Drosophila melanogaster: one gene and its partners. The protein of the gene in region 3 interacts with the protein of the main gene of each other region in a pairwise test. Each region holds a gene or a part of one and is shown on either strand. Other genes may lie near its edges.

Region 1 (6,851 bases), on a different chromosome or scaffold from region 3:
GTCTGATTCGCTTCTTGCTCCCAGCGTGATGGCCAACCTTGAACCCATTGAATTGGCTCTTCTTCAGAACCAAAGTTATTTCTGTAAGTCCGTCCCCCCGACGCCATACTCTTCGGACCTTGTGGGATAACCATTTCGGCATGAGCCCAGAAGCTGGTGTGATAAAAGCGATAGTGGTATCATAATCTAATCAGCTGTCATCATGACTAAATTAAAGATCTATAACTTAGACGTGCTTAAAAAATATAATAGAATAAATGGAAGCATTTGGTATTGCTTTTAGGAACTAGTAAAAAGGGAAATTCCATACTTAAAATACATACAGCTTAATAGCAAATTAAACTAAATGTAGCGAAAGGGTATAGACGCTTCGTTAAGCGGTCATAACCAGCTGCCTCTTTGGCTCGGTGCTTAGGTTCACTTTTGGCGTGTAGCTGCCAAACAGGTAATGTGGCCAGTGGACTGGAGGCTGGGCCCTCACGCACATTTCTTTGGATACACACACGTGTGGCTTCTTCTGTTGTTTGGCAAGCCCCTTCATTCGTTTCTCTTCCGTCTCTTTGCAGCTCCCTGTGATGCACCTGTCACACGGCCAACTGAAAGTGGTGCTCATTTTGGCCCTGCTGCAGGAGCTGCAGGTGAAGCCGCAGCGAGAGGTGTTCCAGGAACTTTTCGAGAAGGATCTGCGCTTGTGTCCAGACTGTTTCGTTGGACAGAGTGAGCCGTGCGGGGAAATCTTCCAGAAAATTGCAGAGCCCTCGGATTGGAGTAGACTTGTGAAAGCCATTTCGTTGCTCGTTGATCGCCGAGCGATTTACTTTCTAAGGCTAAAAGACCGGGATCAGGAAGTCCAGCTGGTGGCCAAAAGAAAAATCATTGATGCACAGAGTAATCAGATAAAAAATGTGAAAAAAGATTTCTATGAACTAGAGGAGCGACCTGGTGGTTTTCATCTCTGCCGAACTCTGGCAAGGGAACCCCGCTTTGTTTCGTACTTGGAGCAGCGTGGACATGCTGCCGCCAGTGTGTGGTTCTACATGATGTACTACGTTAGTCCGCTGCTTATGCAGGAACTGCATCTGCAGGGATTTCCAGTGCCTACCACCTACGCCTCCTGCGGACTAACACATTTTCAATCCAATGCAGGACGTACTTTAGCTCATTACGTCGATGCTGAAGAAGGTTTGCGTGTGGAGCTGGCTCTCCAGTTGATCCAGCTCTCCCTCAAGCTGACTTTTGGATTCGCGGACTTTCGCATTATCTTAACCGATTTCACGGCCGATAATTTGGCTTACGACGAAGACACCAAGAAGGTGTACCTCATTGATTTGGACTCCGTGGTCCTGGTGGACGCTTCGTTCGCAGCAGGACATGCCGAAAAGTACGAGCCGCTGACCGGCGAGGGATTCACATTTGATGTCTCTGCATTCTGCTCCGGCCATCAGCTGGATGCCAATATCTACCAGGCGTGCCTTTTGCTAAGGGATTACTTGCTTAAGAATTTGGACAACGAAAAGCTGCAGCTGCTCCTGGAGCAGTGTGTAGCATGCCAAGATGACTTCTGTGATATGCGTTTCCAACATGCTTACGACCTAATAAAAGTGCTGGAAAGCAATAATTAAAGCCAATCGTTGGAGATCCACTAGTAAATAATCGTTTATAATCATAAAACATATTCTTCATTACACTCAATTTAATGCCTAAATGAACCTCTTACGCCGAACTTTGAAGGATTTGGGAAGTGGGGTTACCAGCAACAAAGTGCTATCCGCGTAACGTTGGACTAGGACGGGCGTCGGTTCAGAGCTTAGATAATATCACGTGGCACACTCAGGAAGTGTATGGAATTGGACACATGATGTGTGATGTCCGTTAGTGTCTCCTTGTGCACGCCCCCGAAGAGGATGAGCTCGCCGTTGCCAGCAATGAGGCTCGAGAGGATTAGCCGATCCGGAGCACCCTTAAGCACTCCGAAGTTTTTGTATTCCACCCACTCGAGGGCGGGTTCGCTGCTGTCCAAAATGCCGGAGATGTCACACACGAACAGGGATTGCACATTGCAGCGCAATCGTTTGGGCGAGGGTGCGCGCAGCGGTTGTGGTTCCACTTGGGCGGCCGCCGGTGCGCTGCGTCGCGAATTGCGAATGGCGTTCATCTTCTCCTCCATGCGTCGTATTCGCTCGTTGTGATCCCGCGAAGCACTCCGCGATCGTGTGGGCACATTGAAGGCGGCCATTCGAAAGGGATCCTTTTGAAACAGGAAATAAATAAGAGGTCCATGATAGGCGCACTTAAAATCACTCACCTCATAGAGCTCATCGAAACGTTTTGGTAGCCTAGGTTCATTATCACGACACCTTAGAGCTAAATTTCTTTGCAAACGCTGTGCGGCATCCACATCGCCGTCGGCGGGAGATGGCGGAGCATTTGGTCGCACTGGCGGGGATGGAGGAGAAGCAGCTGCAGCCGCAGCTGGCGGGGCATGCAGATCACTCAATCTTCCCGAGCGCGGTTGGTAATTATTGTTATTATTGTTCACATTGCTGTTGTGCAGGAATTGCTGCGCTTGCTGCATGTGTTGATTAAGAATTGCTCTCCGGTTAGCCAAATACTGTTCTTGAGGACCCAGTGCAGCTGCTGCACCTCCCACTCCAGGACGGATGTTTCCTCCGCGATTTTGGCCAGGTCCACCCAATCCACCTCCACCTAGTCGACGATCCGGAACTGGTATCCGGTATCCCCTTGGAGGTACATTTTGAAGAGGATTCGGCGGCGGAGGTCCACGGCCTCCAACGACGGGGACTCTGCTTTGCTTCATCATTTGGAAGTCCTGCGGCATGTTGGGCGATGGGCCCACGACCACCAGGTAGTTGTTGACCTTGCAACCGGGATTGCACCACATGTGGACGGCTCCAAAGCGCTTGTTGCGCACAGCAATAGACTTCCAGCTCCATACATCCCTGGTCATGTCCAGCAGCCAGGCATCAGTGTACACGCGATTGGCACCGCCACATCCTCCCACGATCAGCAGATGGTTCCTTCCCAACTCCACCTGTATTTGTCCGTATCGCGGACTGGGTCGCGTGTTGCCCACAAAGAGCGGCTGCCACCAGCGCTGCTCCGGCAGATCCAGTACCCATGTGTCGTTCGAGTTCACATTGAAATCGTCTTTGATCTGGTAACCACCAAAAACTACCATCCGATCGCCATGTACCGTGGCCGAGTGTCCAGCCATCGGTGGTGGGGAAGATAGGGAGCTTCGCAGCAGCCAACGGTTCTTTCCAAGATCGTAGTAGTGCAGCTCGTCAAATAAGCACCATGGTTGGTAGGGCGGATGTAGCGAGGGGTATCGCCATCCGCCAAAGAGTATCAGCTGGTTCCGCCACGCCACCATTGATGCACTGCCCTTGGGCGAGGGATAGGTTCCTGTGGCCACTGGCCGCGCCCACCGCATGTGCGTCAAATCAAAGCGCCACAGATCGTTGAAGGTGGTGTCCGACGAGGATCCACCGCCGAATACGTACATGGAGTTGTCTTGCCGCACAGCCGAATGAGCAAATCTTCCGGCAATAAAGGATAATAGTGCTCCTGCCCCGCCATTGACTGTCTGCTGGGAAAACACCTCCCAGCGCAGTCGAAAGTCGATGAGGCCCTTCTCGAGATTGTGTCTGGAACGACGCACAAGGTCTGCAAAGGATAAGAAGTTAGTTAAGTTGTATTATATTCGCACTTTCCAGATGCCCACTCTTCACAATGGCGTGCCATCGCTTGCACACCAGGCTGCAGTGCTCCAAGTCGCCGTAGGGTGGCAGGTAGGTGAATATGAACTCCAGTATCTCATCGGGAAGGACATTCAGATTTACAGCGGCCAAGGTCGCCCCGCAATTGTCGTTCTCGCCGTCGACCTTGTATCTGCTCGCGTCCATCCTTTGTGATGTCCTTGCTGCCCCCTTTCTTCGTGGCTTTCGTGGTGTGCTTCACCCTCGGATGCTGCACCACAGAAGCAGCAATAGGCAGCGAATGATTTTAAGTCGCTGAACTTATATGCTGGCTTGAACTCCAGATGATTTTCGGGTTTTTATACAACAAAAATAAATTATAACATAAACAGTAGCTGCGAACAGTGTGACCGTGCTGAAGTCAGAAACATACAAATGGTCACAATAAAAATACCAAAATTACAGGCTTCATATCATATATTTATTTCTGATCAACTTTGGAATGACAGATTATTAATAAAGGTTTTATTTTTCAAAATACGTGAAATCAAGTAAATTCGCCTACTTTATTGTTCAAATTGCCAAACAGCTTTTTCATACAACAAACAACATGCAACATCCAGTGGATTTGCGCTATTAGCAAAGCTTGCTCATCTCTGTTGTGCGCGTTTCGTAGCGAATGGCAAAAGCCAAAGTAATTTCACGTGTTGCTTTTAAATTGTTTATTTCTCATTAACCGCCAAAATGAGTGCAACAAATGACAAAAAAGTTGTGATAAATAAACGATTAAAAGGCTTAAGCCGAGAGGCACTTGAAAAACTGACTCAAACCGAGCTGATCGACAAGGTTATCCAACTGGAGGCCTATAACTTTCAGTTGCGGAATCTGCTGCAGAAAAAGTTAAGCGAGAAAGATAAACATGATAAGGAATACTCTGGATTAATTGGAAACGAAGCGGAGGGCAAAGTTAGCCAGGTGGCCAAGACATCCAGCAAAGTGCAGAAGATACGTAAGTTCGATTGGAGCAGGTATGTTGTGGAACCATTTCCAGATTGGATCAAGCTCCATGATTCAATTTTTTCAGTGCACACAAGCGTCATGTCTTGCTTAAGATTACCTACTTTGGTTGGGATTATCAAGGATTTGCCTGCCAGGAGGATTCCAATGATACTATCGGTAGGTTCTGAACACAAATCTTATAGATTTTTGCTAAATCTTTTGCTTTGCCACAGAATCCAACTTGTTCCGCGCTCTAGCTCGTACCTGCCTCATCGAATCTCGCGCCACTTCCAATTATCACCGCTGTGGACGCACAGACAAGGAGGTGAGCGCCTTCTGCCAGGTTATCTCCATAGATCTGCGCAGCAAGCATCCGCCCGAATCCCAGCTGGATCCCACAGCGCTTTCCTCCGAGATTGACTACTGTGGACTCCTGAATCGAGTGCTGCCCAAGAACATTCAGTGCGTGGCTTGGATGCCACTGCGCAGTCCGGTTTATAGCGCTCGATTTGATTGCGTTTCCCGCACCTATCGTTACTACTTTCCTAAGGGTGACCTGGACATTGCTGCCATGCGTAAAGCCTGTGATCTCCTAGTGCGTCACGCCGACTTCCGTAATTTCTGCAAAATGGACGTGCACAACGGAGTAACCAACTACATGAGAAACTTGCAATCTGCCAGGGTGGAAGCTTGTGATCAGACAAATCATACAAATTCAGGTTTGTTCCTGAGCAAAAGCTTTAGTTCTAAAAGATTATAAAGCGCCATATTCCACAGGCTACGACATGTACTACCTGGAGATTCAAGCAAATGCCTTCCTTTGGCACCAAATCCGTTGCATAATGGCGGTGCTTTTACTTGTTGGCCAAAAAAAGGAAAACCCGGGCGTAATAAGTGACCTGCTTGATGTGGAGTCTAATCCCTGCAAGCCTCAGTACACCCCCGCAATTGGATTGCCCTTAAATCTGTTTCGTTGCGACTTTCGAGACCACACAACAAGAAGTGTAAACCATCCAAGCAGCGGTGATGCAGACGAAGAAGCCATGGATACAGCCGCCGACGAATCAAATGACTTAAATGCTCCGGAGCACTTGGAGCGTGATCTTACAGCGTGGATTTACAATGAGGAAAATCTACAAAAGCTTATTGAAAACACCCAGTGTGAGTGGACGCAATTTAGCGTTAAGAGCACCATGATACGCAATGTGCTGCAACAATTGGAAAACTTATTTGAAGAGAATTTTAAGCCAAAAGAGAAGGTACTGGCTCAGGTAATCCTGTTGCAAGATTCCGTCAATCCGCGTCAATATCAGCCTCTTTTAGAACGCAAACGATGTGGTATGTATTGAATGCACACTTATTTTTTGTTTACTAAAATCAATCATTTTTTCCAGAGAGTTTGGAGAACCGGATAGAGCATTTTGTAAAAAAGCAACGACTGATTGTGAAGAATGAAACGGAAACAGAGTGATTTATTTTAATATAATGTCATTGAAACAAAACGTATATTGCTTTTCAGGTAAATATATTAAGGTTGTATGTAAATAGAACTTGTACAACGTTTCGAACCTTAGCCTAGTCTAGAATGGGTAAATAATTTAAAATTGTAACTCCATACAATTCTTTACATACTATTTGGGATTCTAGTTTCTAAATAGAGTCTGTGTATAAGTATAGTTCTTGCAAGGGGCTTTGTACGATTACAAAAAAGGCTTCACTTAATTAGAGAAGCTACCATTTAACTTGGTTAAACGATGCAGGTTGTCCATAATTATGTATTACCATGGGAATAAGTCAAATACGGGCATTAACTAGCACTAGCAACCCATCGATTTAGCTTTCTGTAATCTGCAAAAAAAAGTGGAACATTAGTTTTCAAATAAAAATAATAGTTTCCTCAAATGTACTTACTTTCTTCTTAAGATTTTTAGCACAATGGTGCCCTCTCTTACGTTCTTAAAGAGTCCTATGGTTTCGGCATGACTCATGCCCTGCACAGAGTTTCCATTGATCTCTACAATCTCGTCGCCTGTTTGGAGTGTATTTTAGTTGTGGCTATAGATATCGAAAAGCCTTTAAAAAAAAAACTTACCCGCTTGCAGTGTGCCATCATCGGCTGCCTGGCCTGAGGGA
Region 2 (5,617 bases), on a different chromosome or scaffold from region 3:
GATAAGAAAAAGACAGTTAATTAATTTTTAAGAATAAATTTATCAAAGTCCAAAGTTGATACTACTTCATATTGGGTTTGATATATGACAAATGTGAAGTAAAAGGCTGATCGCTGCGACCTTCAAGTAATCTATTATTAAAACCATATACCCATACGATATAACCTTTATTGAAACGGTAACACTTACCTAAAGGGAATGTTTTTAGTTACATTTTCAGATTTTTGCCAAAACCAATTTTACGATACCTTTAAAATTGTATATTTGTACTAAAAATACAATATACAATATATAAAATATAAAATATTGCAAATGAAATAATTATTATTTTCAAAATTATTTATAATTTTGCACGATTTACTACTAATTAAACCAAACTGTGTTTTAAATTTTTAACGGATATTTCATTAAATAAAAGCTTAGCATACTTTTTGGTAGTTTTCACTTTGCTATTTTAAGCAAAACCTGAGCTTTTCGACCAAATGTCGAATTCAATAGACAGTCACATAGCCACCTTTTTTTAAATAAAATGTTTTCATTTCTGTATATCGCTGTATTCGCGATGCAAAAATATGTGACTGCCAAAAAATGTACTTGCAAAAATAATCGCTACCTATTGAGAAAATACAAAACTGTAAAAACGTTAAATTGATAATGGGAGGTTATCAAATGCACCTACAGATGTAGTAAACAAAAGTCAGCTGTTTTTGTTGCTCATAAGAAGACACAGTACTCAGATAGAGGAACAATGTTTATACTACGTTCTAGATCCCTTACAAACCTAAAATTCGTTAGATCTCCAAGCATATCTTGCCGTTACGTACAATATAACCAAGGTCAATCTCCGGAGCCAAAAATTCGCGAATACTTTTACTATATCGATCATGAGGGAATGGTGAGACTCTCAACTATGCATCTGTGCTTCAACTCGCATAACCCGTTTTGCAGCTCTTCCTGGACGATGCAAAGATGAAAAACTTCACCAGCTGCTTTAAGGAGAAGGATTTCCTCAAGTTCTTTTTCAACCGACTGCGGCTAAACAAAACGAGCAGATATGAAAGCGAATTTCCATACATTTCCCTCTGTGGCCGCGAAAGGAATTTTATTAGGTGCGATGACACACCTGTTGTGTTTACTGAACAGCTGAGGAAGGACGATACGGAGGTGCTCAGCTATGCACACGCGGGACAGGTCCTTACCCTGCCTTACGAACCCCACAAACTGTACATGGATCCGCGAAACGGAAGGGTCTATCATCCAGCTGCGCCACAGGTGGGCGGAATAGGCCTAGTCCGCTCCAAACTGGCCATCGAGCTCAGCCAGCACTTTGAGTTTCTCGCTGGCGAGGCTTCCCCCACACATTTCCAATGGAACGGAGAACGTTTAGAGTTGCAGAACGAGTGGGTTAACAATACTCAGCGATTTCCCATGAACGAGGATTGTAAATAATTGAATAACTTTAATCGTTTTAAAATTGAGACAACGATAGAATATAACTTACAGAATATATGTATATTGGTTTTACTCAATGCTAAGTGGCTTAAACTCGCCCTCCTTAACCCATGACAGACCAGTTGCATGTCCACCATTTGCTTGTTGCGCTGAAGGCTCCGTCAGCTTGCTTCTTCCGGCCTTGATGCGCTCCAGAACGGGCCCGTGCACGTCCTGCTGGAACTTCTCGAATACTATGTAGTGCGGATCTTCGGTGGGTGGGGTGTCAAATATATGCTCCTTGCTCTCCTTGATATTTTCCTGTACGCGAGCAACATACTCCTCCTTGTTATTCATCAGCAGCTCCGCAGCCTCGCTGTTTTTGAGCTTATCTACCTCAATGCCCCGAATACTGTCCAAGGGATCGGAGAAAATGACTTGCAGGTACTTTAAAAGCTGCCAAAGGTGATCCTCTCCACAGCGCCACTCCGGGAAGGCGTGGCTCACGTCCAAACTGTGGGTGTACGGGCACACATGGGGATGAATCACATCCTGCTGGAAAATTATGCTCTAAAGGGGACTTGTAGAGTTAAATACGTTTGCTCTATTGCCGATCCTACTCACCGGAAGACTTTTGTCGTCGGGAAAACGATCTGGGAGCAAAATTGTGAATCGAAAAACACTTTCCGCATACAAGCCCTGTCGGCCAAAGAAGACTCCAAACCACTCTATTAACAAAAGATAAAATTAGCTAAAGACTGCATACAGGTTGGCAGGTGGGTAGACTAACGCAAGGAGTTAGCATAGCTGGGTATCACATATATCCCACTCAACTTCTCCGACTCAATCATTTTGCTAAAACATAAGAAATTAAATAAGTTTAGTTTTACTCCACGTAGTTATCAGTGAACTCTGAAAACTCACTATTCGGCCAGAATTTTATACTCCTGCTGTATGGTTGTGATCAGCAACTTGTCATCTTTCTTATGCGCATCCAAATCGAGAGTCATTTTGTCCGGACAATAGAAAAATTAAACAAAAAACTAGTAACATAAACAAACGGACAATTTTGTTGCTTGTTGAACAGCTGATTGGTGAAGGGTTGCCACTCTTTCGTAAAACCTAAATGGCTCACTGTGTTTAGGAGCCCTGGTTATCGCACTAAAACAAAACAAAGCATGCGGCCTTCGAAATCCTGACAAAAATGACGACTACATTAGAAGAGCAGCTTTCAGACAAGTTGCAGATGATGGACGAGACCACGGATAAGGTCCAGGGGTCGTCGAAGCAGAAGGATGATAGCAGTATAGCCGCAAGTTCAGATGCCAAGACAGCGTCCCCTTCTTCGAGCGATAGTTCGACCAAAGTCGCCGCACCGGAGTCCGAATTTTACAATAAGGCACAAAAATATTGGTCTGAGGTACCGGCGACTGTTAACGGGATGCTCGGCGGCCTGGGCTACATTAGTGCCATAGATATACAGGGATCGAATGTGTTCCTGCGCGAGATCCGCGTGCCGGGCAACAGGTTGGCCCTCGACTGCGGAGCTGGCATTGGTCGGGTGACTCGGAATCTCCTGATCCCCCGCTTCAGCTGCGTGGATCTTGTCGAGCAGGATCCCGCGTTTGCCGATAAAGCACGGGAGTACTGCACTTCGGAAGACGGAAGCCGTGGAAAGGTGGGACAGATCTATAACGTGGGATTGCAGAAGTTTACGCCTACGCAACAGTACGACCTCGTTTGGACCCAGTGGGTCCTGGGCCATCTCACGGACCGCGATCTGGTCTCGTTCTTTCGACGCATAAAGCAGGGACTGGCGCCCGGCGCCTTCTTGTGTCTGAAGGAGAACGTGAGCAGCTCGAAGAAGACAGTGGAAGATAGGAACGACTCGTCGGTAACGAGGCCTCTGGACAGCTATGAACACTTCCTAAAGGAAGCCGGATTTCGCATTGTACGCAAGGTCAAGCAACAAAACTTTCCCAAGGGACTCTTTCCAGTGTACATGATAGCCTGCAAACCCGTCTCCAAGGAATAGGTTTAGTATTTAGTTAGTTTTACTGTTGACCTACAAGCGATTGTACTAAAGTTATCCGAAAAATTTAATGTCACATTACTAGCTAGTCACTTCAAATTGTAGCGTTCTAATCAACGAATAAACAAGCTTACAAAAGCTTGAACACGTTCCTTAATTGATGCCTTCAAAGTGCTTTATTCACGGGATATAAACAAGAAAAACACAATTATTACTAAATTATGTTTACACAAAAATAATATTTTTATCAACCACGCGACCTCGCAATAGTATAGAATGCCAACAAATTCGTTAGTAGTAGAAAAATCTGCTTCCTTAAGTCCCCATTTGCCAATTTTAAATTAATTCTCATAGTGCTATTAGCAATTCTCTTTTCTCAATTCAAATGGATTTCCTTATCTCCATAAATGTTAGTCTTGAAGATCTGGCGACAGCGGATTGATCATAAGCTCAATCTTTTGCCTGGAAACAAGATTACTTGAAAAGTTTTTTAGGTATATAATTACGTCAAAAAGAAAATTACAATTAAAATATATAATTACGTCAAAAATAAAATTCAAATAAAGGGAGAATTTGGGGCATAACAAATATTTTCAGAAGGATATTAAAAATCCTAAGGACAAAACTTAAACATGCAAAAGTTGATAAAAAGTTTGTAAATGAGTTTCTTTATTATTATTACTATTTTTGCATTTAGGAATTAAGAGCCATATTCAGTTCTTTTCCAAATTTTTACGTTGGGTTCAGAAACTATTTTTAAAAGCATACTTTTAAAGAGGCTGCAAACTAAGCATATGTCTGCATTCGTTGAGTTGATATTTCAAACTGCATTTTTATTTCATTGTTCAAGCTTATATAGCTAAAATGAAATTCACATGTTCTAATATTATAAATGGCTTAGACCAACGTAGTGGTGGTCCTCACCATGAGAAAAGATGTGAGTTTCCACTTTTCTATATGCTATAAGAACGTATCTTATTTAACGAATAAGCGTTGTTACTTTTTAAGTATAGGCAGACCAATGTTTTGACAATACAATTGCTGAAGCGGTTCAATCGCTTTACCTACAATATATATGTATATACATACATATATACTCTAATATATTCTTGTTCGTGTGACATTGGCAAAGTTGTTTTCCTCTAAGAACAAACGTTATTTATCCCTTAACGATTGCGCTTTCAAGCCGAGAGCCCTTTCCACATTGCTACACAAACTCAAGTGTTGCAGTTCTGAGCTTCTCAGTTCAGTTATTCAGCTGAAGGGCTCAAATCGCAAAGTGTCGAAATAAAAGTAATCCAGGAAATTTTTTGAGGGAGAATCTTACATGTGCAAAATTACTGAGACAATTGTGACTGTATCAAAGTATCCGTTCATATCTTATGTAAATGAATCGAGAGCGATAATTTATATTTAGGATTTTGTTATCTAAGGCGACATGGGTGCAGTGCTCAAAATCATGTGCACACCACATGAGTCAGTCACTTGAGATCGTTCCCCGCCTCCTAAAATAGTCCCTTAGTGGGAGACCACAGATAAGGTCCTCGCCGCTCAATATAGGCAGATGAGCCGGAGGGTGGGACCTTGATAAGGCGGGGACTATTTACTTAGGCCTCTGCGAAGGCCATTTACTTTAAGATGTGATTCTCATGTCATCTATTTAAACCGAAGATATTTCCAAATAAAAGCAGTTTTCTTACAAAAACTCAACGAGTAAAGTCTTCTCATTTGGGATTTTACAGTATCTGAAAGGAAAAAGGATGCGAATCCGAACATATAAAGTATACACATGTATATTCTTGATCGGGATTAAGAGCGAAGTCAATCCAACCACGTTCGTCTGTTTGTCCGGACCTATTCGGGCTGAAATGTTGGAATCAAACATGGAGATTCTAGTGACACCTAGCTCATCAATTTTTTTCATTGCACGCCATAACGGCAACAAAACGCTAAAAGCTGTGAACTGGCAACTTATAAAAAAAAGGTATTTTTTTTAAATATTTGGGCTACGCCTACTCTAACGTCAAGAAATTTCAAAACCTCGTAGGGAAATACAAACTATTTCTTATACATATATTGCAGTTATTCAGTCAAACATCAGAGCGTCGAAGCTATTATTGAAACTGTCGCTAGATGGCGCACATGGGTCACATG
Region 3 (7,113 bases):
TTGGCCTGGTGAGCAATAAATTTGCAAGAGCCACCGCTACACACGCACGAGCACTAACACACACTCACTGTTTTTGTTGTTGCTCGAAACGGAATCCGCGTTTGTTGTTCAGGTGTTGTACGAGCCGCATGCAAAATTCAACTGTGGCGAGAAAATCGAGACTCGAATCGAGAGAGCGGCTTAAAAACAGGTACACAACTATGTGGCGCCACAAAATCCAACAACAAGTGGTGCCACCTGGTCACACTGCACGATCGGCATGTTGCCAGATGGTTGAATACACCGCGAAAAAACTGTGATTTATTTTGGTAATAATCTTAGTTTAATAATTTATATACATAAACAACATAAAACGACTAATGCAAATGTTTACATTTTCCTCGAGCGTAGCAAATATATACCCAACCAATAAAATGTATCTTTTATTTATTTTACGCAAATAAATTTGTCTTTTTGAATATTTTATTAAAACTTGAAAATAAGCTACTAAAGATAAATCTTAGACTAAACGTTAAAACAATACTTAACCGAATTAATTTGTACCTGAAACGTTGGGTCCATAGCCTTCGCATAGCCTTATAGCTTTTCTTCGCCACCTAAGGGAATAAAAGAGGGTAGAGTTCCCAGTTGAGGACGTCGTCGAGGGCAAGGGGCACCCGCTTCCTTCTGATCCTCATCCTCCGCTTCAGGTTTCTTCTGTTCCACATCATCTCTAGTCAATATTGCTTCCGCTGGTTCCTTGTGGGACCCAAAGTAGCGTGAACTGGTGGGCAACTCATCCGCTGTAGACGATTCTTTCGCGGTATCCGTGAAGGCGACAGGTTTACTGCCCAGTTTGGGACGCGACTTGACTTTGGCCAATCGCTTTGATGGCGACTTCTTACAGAACACGCACCTGGGTAATTCGCACTTGCCCTTGCGCTCCAACTCGGGACAGGAAAACTCGTGACGTTTGTTGCACTTAAAATGTTTTGGAGTTAATAGGTTTTCAATGAAAATAAGTGGCAGACCTATTTACCTCGGCAGCCAACGGACAGTAGCCGCGCACAAAGTCAATACAAATCTCGGTCTTGCTGCTCAGCTTCTTGTGTAGGTACGGGCAATCCTCGCGAACGCAAACGCCGCGCAAATAGTACCGACAGACGGGCATCTTCTCCAGCGTGACATTATGGGACAGCAGGCATTTGGGTTTGGTGCACTCCCCGCGCAGAAAGCTGCAAGTAAATGATTTCAAAAAGATAACCGCATTGCGAATTTCGAACATTGGACGCCATCGAAGGTTTAGCACTCTTCGCTTGGCCAAGGACAAACCTGACACAGATGGCAACCTGCCGCTTGTCGTGCAGCTTGCGGCACTTGCCACGACTATGGGCAACGCACTTGCCCAGCTTCTGGAAGATGGCACAAGGCACATTGGTCTTCACCAACGATTTGTTGAGCAACGTCAGGCTTCTCTGTTTGGCGGTGATTAAATGGGCTCGCGACACGTGATTACTGGTGCGTACAAAGACATTCAGTGCCTTTGGCGAAGCAACGTAGGTAAGGCCGCCGATATCGATGCGCCTCAGGATGCTACGATTTACGCTACTCTGGGTAGCACCAGTTGATGAGGTTGAAACTCTGGTCAGGCGGCAGCCGGAAGGATCTAAAATGAACTTATTGCCGCTGACGAAGAGCGTTCTGCCGGACAAGGTACGCTGCAAGGTCCTGGGACTCTCCGATTTGGCTACCCTAGCGGAGGAACTGGCATCCAGCTTGGTTATTTTGTTCTTCGATATCTTCTTGTACATCACACCGTGTATGCTGACCATGCTCAGGGATTTGTTAACGCCCAGCTTCAGCGCCTGCGGCTTGGAGCTGTAATAAAAGTTAAGTTAGTTGATGTACATTACCTTGTCTAACAGAGTCGCCTGTTGCTTGACTATTTTCAACTGCTCGTATCCGATTTTCATTACCTCAGTTTTCTGTTGGGCTGCGCTTCATTGGTGCGTCTCAGGGCGTACTGGCCCACAAACTCGCGTAGAGGACGACGCTTTTTGACCAGCGGTGTGCAGGTAAGTGATATGGAACGCACTAATTTGTACCTAGTGCGTTTAGCAGGTGGAGGAGGATGGAGGGCAGCAACCGCTGGCGCTGCTTTCAATGCTCCTTGCCTCACAATTTTCCGCTTGGAAATGCTTACCAATGGAGGCTGCACCAGGCTGGAAACAGTGGGCACAGGTACTGAAGCAGCGAGCTTCACCGCCGGACCACTTGCCACCACTGATGGCTTGCGCACGAGACACGTGCTCACTTTGCTGATGATCTTGGCGGGCGGAGGAGGTGGAGTCGCCAGTAGGTGTATCGTTGGATCCAGTCGATAGTGCGAGGCGGAAACTTGTTGCATCATAAGCTGCTCCTGCTGCTCCCGCTGGTATTGGTCGTACATGGCCCGCTGGCGATTCAGAAAGTGCGGATTGATATGGATCGCGGGCTGAGGCTGCAGTGGCGCCTGGAACGCCTGGAAGGGCACTTGGAACGGCAGCTGATGCGCCGTTTGACCTTGCAGCTGAAAATTCGGATTGATGTACACCTTTCGCGACATAGACGGCTGTGCCTCGTCGGCACTTATATGCGGCAACATTTCGTTGCTTCCTTGGCTTAACCTAATGAATTAATCCGTTCCAATTTTTGGTTATTTCTCAATTTTTACACTTCTTTCCAATGCTTCTTTGTATTGCACATTTTCTTTACATTACGTACGCAGTGTGAACTTGATCTGGGACCAGAAAAATACCAAAAAATACTGAAGTATAAATGAGGAAAATATACTAACAAAAGTTTTATGATATGTTAATATTAAGCATGTTTTTAAATTATATTTATCATACAATATAAAAAAAGAGGAATATTTGCGGATGAACTTATGCTAACAACCATTTAAGAAATCTATTTCCCGAATAAATGGCACATGCGGCCACCCTAATAAACCTAAAAAGCTTATTGTGAATGGGCACATCATATGTTGTGCAAAACGTGGATTTCATTTGCCGACAAATTTTCAAACGCGAATTTTGAACCAAGATGGGCAAGGATCGGGGCAGAGGACGTAGGAATAACCATTCCGGGCCATACAACAAGAGCAACTGGCGTGGTCAGAAGAAGGATCGCCCCCAAAACAATGGTGGCGGTCAGCGCAACAGGTACAAATTAAATCCCATAAATAATATCGTTGTTAACCGGCGTTTTTCGTTGGACAAAAGTGCTCCACAACAGAAATCCACGCTGCTGGAGACCCAAGTGGGCATTACGGAGTTCACTAACCCGGAGGCACCTGGCTTCACGGGAATACTTAAGTCTCGCTTCTCTGATTTTCACGTGAACGAGATTGATAGCAATGGAAAGGTTCTGGAACTGAACGATCTCAGTGTGCCTAAAGTGGCTATTGTGGGTCTGTATTCACCAATTATCCTGCATACTTGCTTATGCTCATGCATCTCATACTATAACAGCTGTGGCCGAAAACGAACTGGACAACTGGCGGAAAGAACTGGAGGCAGTAATCGGCCCGGAAGTTTGGCAGGATATAGCCAATCTGGCTAAGGCCAAAAACGATCCCGCGATCGAGCAAAAGGTGGAGATTGATGTGACCACTCTGGATAAGGAGCAGCGAACACAAGTCCACCAGATGATAAAACAGCTTTACAAGGGCAAGCTACTGTCCACAACCATTGGACAGCAGCAGGCTAAGCCGAAGGTCCAGGAGGAGGCATCTTTGGAAAATAAGGATGCGGCTGAAGGTGAAACCTCAACCCAGAAAGACTCACAGGTGCCGGCAGAGGAGAAGAAGACTATAAAAGTATTTAAACCAAAGCCAGGACGCGGTTAGTAGAAATGATTACCCAGGGAATTCCTTTTTTTATGCATCGAATTCCATAGGTGACAAACGCTGGAGCTTTCCGGCGGATTACGTGACCTTCCTGGTGCACAAAACCAATTTGGTTACCAGCGATGTGGCCTCTACTTTAGCAGCGCGACTGAAGTAAGTTTGATCAAATTTTAAATGCTTTAATATACTAAGAAAACATTATTTTTCTACAGCTTACGACCATCGCAGGTGAACTACAGCGGCATCAAGGACAAGCGGGCCAAAACCACCCAGAAGTTCTCCGTCAAGCGTCGTACACCAGAGAGCATTTTGGTTGCAGCTCGCTCCCAACGGAATGTTCATATCGGCAACTTTGGATTCGAATCCAATACACTGAAGCTAGGCGATTTGCAGGGCAATCGTTTTCGTATTGCCTTGCGACACATTGCCAAGGAGAAGCGAGAAGAAATCGAGCAGGCACTGCAATCATTGAAGGAACGCGGCTTCATCAACTACTATGGCTTGCAGCGGTTCGGCAACAGCGCCAGTGTCCCAACCTATGAGGTGGGTGTTGCTCTGCTCAAGCACGATTACAAACTGGCCTGCGAACTGATCCTGAAACCCCGGGACTCGGATGTGGAGTTTTTGCGTCCCATACGCGAGGAGTGGTGGAAAAATCGCGACTCCGCGGCGGCAGCTGCACAGATCTACGGCGAAAAGTTCATCGAAAAGAAGCTGCTGGACGGCTTGGCCAGATTTGGTGAATCAGATTACTCATCAGCTCTGCGGCAGATACCACGCAACATGCTCATGCTATATCCACATGCTTACCAAAGCCTGATCTTCAACAGGATAGCGTCTAGACGAATTAAGGAGTTCGGCTTGAAATTGATACCCGGGGATTTGGTTTATGTGGAGCAGGATCAGTCGGAAGCCTCGGAAGAGCAGGCGCAGCAGGGCGAGGCCTTGGAAGAGCAAAAAGAAGAGGAGCCTAACGATGAACCTCTGGAAGTCCCCGAAGGGGATGAAGCCATCGAAGAGGAGTCGATTTTCAAGCGAAAGGTTCGCCCGCTCACAGCAGAAGACATCGCTAGCGGCAAGTACAAACTTTGCGATGTGGTCCTTCCCCTGCCTGGACACGACATCACCTATCCCAGCAACGAGTGCGGCGCGTGGTACGAGGAAATGCTCGCCGAAGTGGGTCTTTCCTCGGATCAACTGAAGCACAAGGAGAAGACATACGCATTGGCTGGCGCCTACCGCAAGATGATCATATCGTCCAGTGATCTCAAGTGGAGCTTTAGAATGTACAATACGCCGGAGGATACACTTATCGCCTCCGACTGGGAGCTATTGAAGAACATTCCGGTTGCACCAGAACCAGCTGAAGCTGAGGCCAATTACATGGCACTCCTGCTGGAGTTCTCGCTGCCCACGGCTGCCTATGCCACCATGTTTTTGCGAGAACTCTTAAAGCAGGACACATCGTCAGCATCGCAAACGCAGTTGGAGAAACAGGCAATGGCTAAGGAGGACAATGAAAAGAAGGCGGTAGGAACCCAGGAGGAACAAATGGAGGTGGTAAAGGAGGTGGCCGACGAGGATGGGCAGGAAACTGAGCAGGCGGAAACTCAGGGGGCCGAGGAGGCGGTGTAGGCCAAGTGAGATACCGAAAATCAATATGCTCAGGAAATCAATTTTACGCGCGCTTCGTATCCAACTTCGAACCAACCACAACAATAACAATGCGCACGTGAGGACGAGGGCTGCTCCCTCTCTCTCTCTCTCTCACTGTCGCATCCCGTGGCTCGCACCCCGTCAATCTCAATCGCTCTCTCTCTCTCTCTCTCTCTCGCCTGGGAGAGTCCTTTTGGTCCTGTTTCTTTGACTGCGATTTTATTCGTTCGGTGGCCACCAACGCGAAAGCTCAAGCGACGCGCTGCGCAGTTTCCCCAGCTCAAAAGTCCAAGTCGCACGGTTTTCCCCAGCGTTCTCAATGAAGAGCAATAACAAATTATTAATTGACAACAAATAACGAACAAGCACGGTCCCCCAAAAATCCACGGACTCCATCCAATTCATCCAGTGATTTAAAGAGATTTTAAACCAAATAAAAAAACCAAGAGGCGAGACAAGGTGAATTTCCAGTTAAATGTAGCATTTAAACGTTTTGGGCGCGTACTTTGAAAATCCATTTATTAAGGCGTAAGTATACATTCGAGTCTACAAATTGTTTATAACTTTTACGACAACACTGAACTAAACAATCACAGAACTGTACAATATTTGATTTTGGCTCTGGCAGCCTATTGATTTTTGTTGTGTGCTTGTGCTGGAAATCAATCGATAATACGGTGTTAATACCAAGAGCTGAGTCCGGGGATTGGGAATGGGAATGGTCTAGTGGGTAGGTGGCTGGCCGTAGGAGTAGTTGGTTCATATAGTGGCTTAGTGCGTCGGAGGGTTCACCATGTACGTGTGAAGTAAGGGGGACTCAGTCGGTACGAGGGGGTAGTGGTAGTGTGGCATCAGTCGTTAAGGGTGCACGACGCTCCTCGCTCGTTATGTTTTTGTTTCGGCCCACTGCTCCCCCTGCGGCAGTCGTCAAATTAATAAACTAAATGCTTGTTTTGGCGTCGTCGTCGCCCTGTCCCCGTGCTGGAGGCCTTCCCCCGATCCGATCCAGACATGGATATTGGACATGTTATTGCTTGCGCGCGCATTCTTTGACTCTTTGACCAGTTCCCAGCAGCAGCTGCGTCATAGTAGGAGTTTTTTGGCGTGGCTCAATTCGATTTTCCCTCGCCTACTCCACCTGCTCCCCGCCCGCCTGTTCAAAGTTGGCTTTTGCCACACAGATAGCTTCCTACTGCATTACTATACACTCCCGCAAGTCTCTGGCTCTATAAATGACCTCTGGCGACAATTGATGCTTTGTTTGGGGTTTACCAGTTGTCTTGAATTTTAAATTGCTAATCTTAAGCCTCAAATAAAATAAACTATTTAATCACAGGCGTGTTAATGTTTTATCATATCATACAATGCAATAGTTAGTTTGTATAGTAAACTTCATTAGATGCGAAGATTAGGTTAAATGAATGGATTAACAATATTTTTTAGGGAAGCATACATTTGGAAAAAGAAGTTATTTAGTATTCGCTTAAGATAATTGTCCAGATATATAAACTATAACAAAAATGACTTAATTATTAAACAATTATATGATCAGTGATGTTTGCTACTTTTGATATCCTATCACGGCATGT

The links.
Region 1: the proteins of Pus7 (region 3) and Fbxo42 interact in a two-hybrid assay, tested with the Drosophila melanogaster proteins (one large-scale study listed by BioGRID).
Region 2: the proteins of Pus7 (region 3) and Ntmt interact in a two-hybrid assay, tested with the Drosophila melanogaster proteins (one large-scale study listed by BioGRID).

Annotation. Positions count from the first base shown.
Region 1 is NT_033778.4:22,172,212-22,179,062, reverse strand, and holds Fbxo42 (F-box protein 42), read right to left. Parts: upstream 4,142-6,851; 5' UTR 3,927-4,141; coding exon 3,746-3,926; exon of another isoform or gene 3,738-3,745; intron 3,688-3,737; coding exon 2,306-3,687; intron 2,249-2,305; coding exon 1,808-2,248; 3' UTR 1,635-1,807; downstream 1-1,634. Other genes in the region: CG11170 (uncharacterized protein), read left to right, coding at 576-1,622; CG3045 (uncharacterized protein), read left to right, coding at 4,464-4,747, 4,804-4,895, 4,952-5,437, 5,496-6,056, 6,113-6,189; a (arc), read right to left, coding at 6,536-6,566, 6,630-6,747, 6,811-6,851.
Region 2 is NT_033778.4:9,863,069-9,868,685, forward strand, and holds Ntmt (N-terminal methyltransferase), read left to right. Parts: upstream 1-2,563; 5' UTR 2,564-2,635; coding exon 2,636-3,466; 3' UTR 3,467-3,983; downstream 3,984-5,617. Other genes in the region: CG30010 (uncharacterized protein), read left to right, coding at 749-895, 949-1,449; peo (pendolino), read right to left, coding at 1,522-2,001, 2,056-2,159, 2,222-2,286, 2,356-2,441. UniProt on the Drosophila melanogaster protein: Alpha-N-methyltransferase that methylates the N-terminus of target proteins containing the N-terminal motif [Ala/Pro/Ser]-Pro-Lys when the initiator Met is cleaved.
Region 3 is NT_037436.4:8,507,022-8,514,134, forward strand, and holds Pus7 (pseudouridine synthase 7), read left to right. Parts: upstream 1-2,981; 5' UTR 2,982-3,063; coding exon 3,064-3,182; intron 3,183-3,242; coding exon 3,243-3,430; intron 3,431-3,491; coding exon 3,492-3,863; intron 3,864-3,918; coding exon 3,919-4,021; intron 4,022-4,080; coding exon 4,081-5,503; 3' UTR 5,504-5,986; downstream 5,987-7,113. Other genes in the region: ZC3H3, read right to left, coding at 577-960, 1,019-1,214, 1,312-1,857, 1,956-2,623.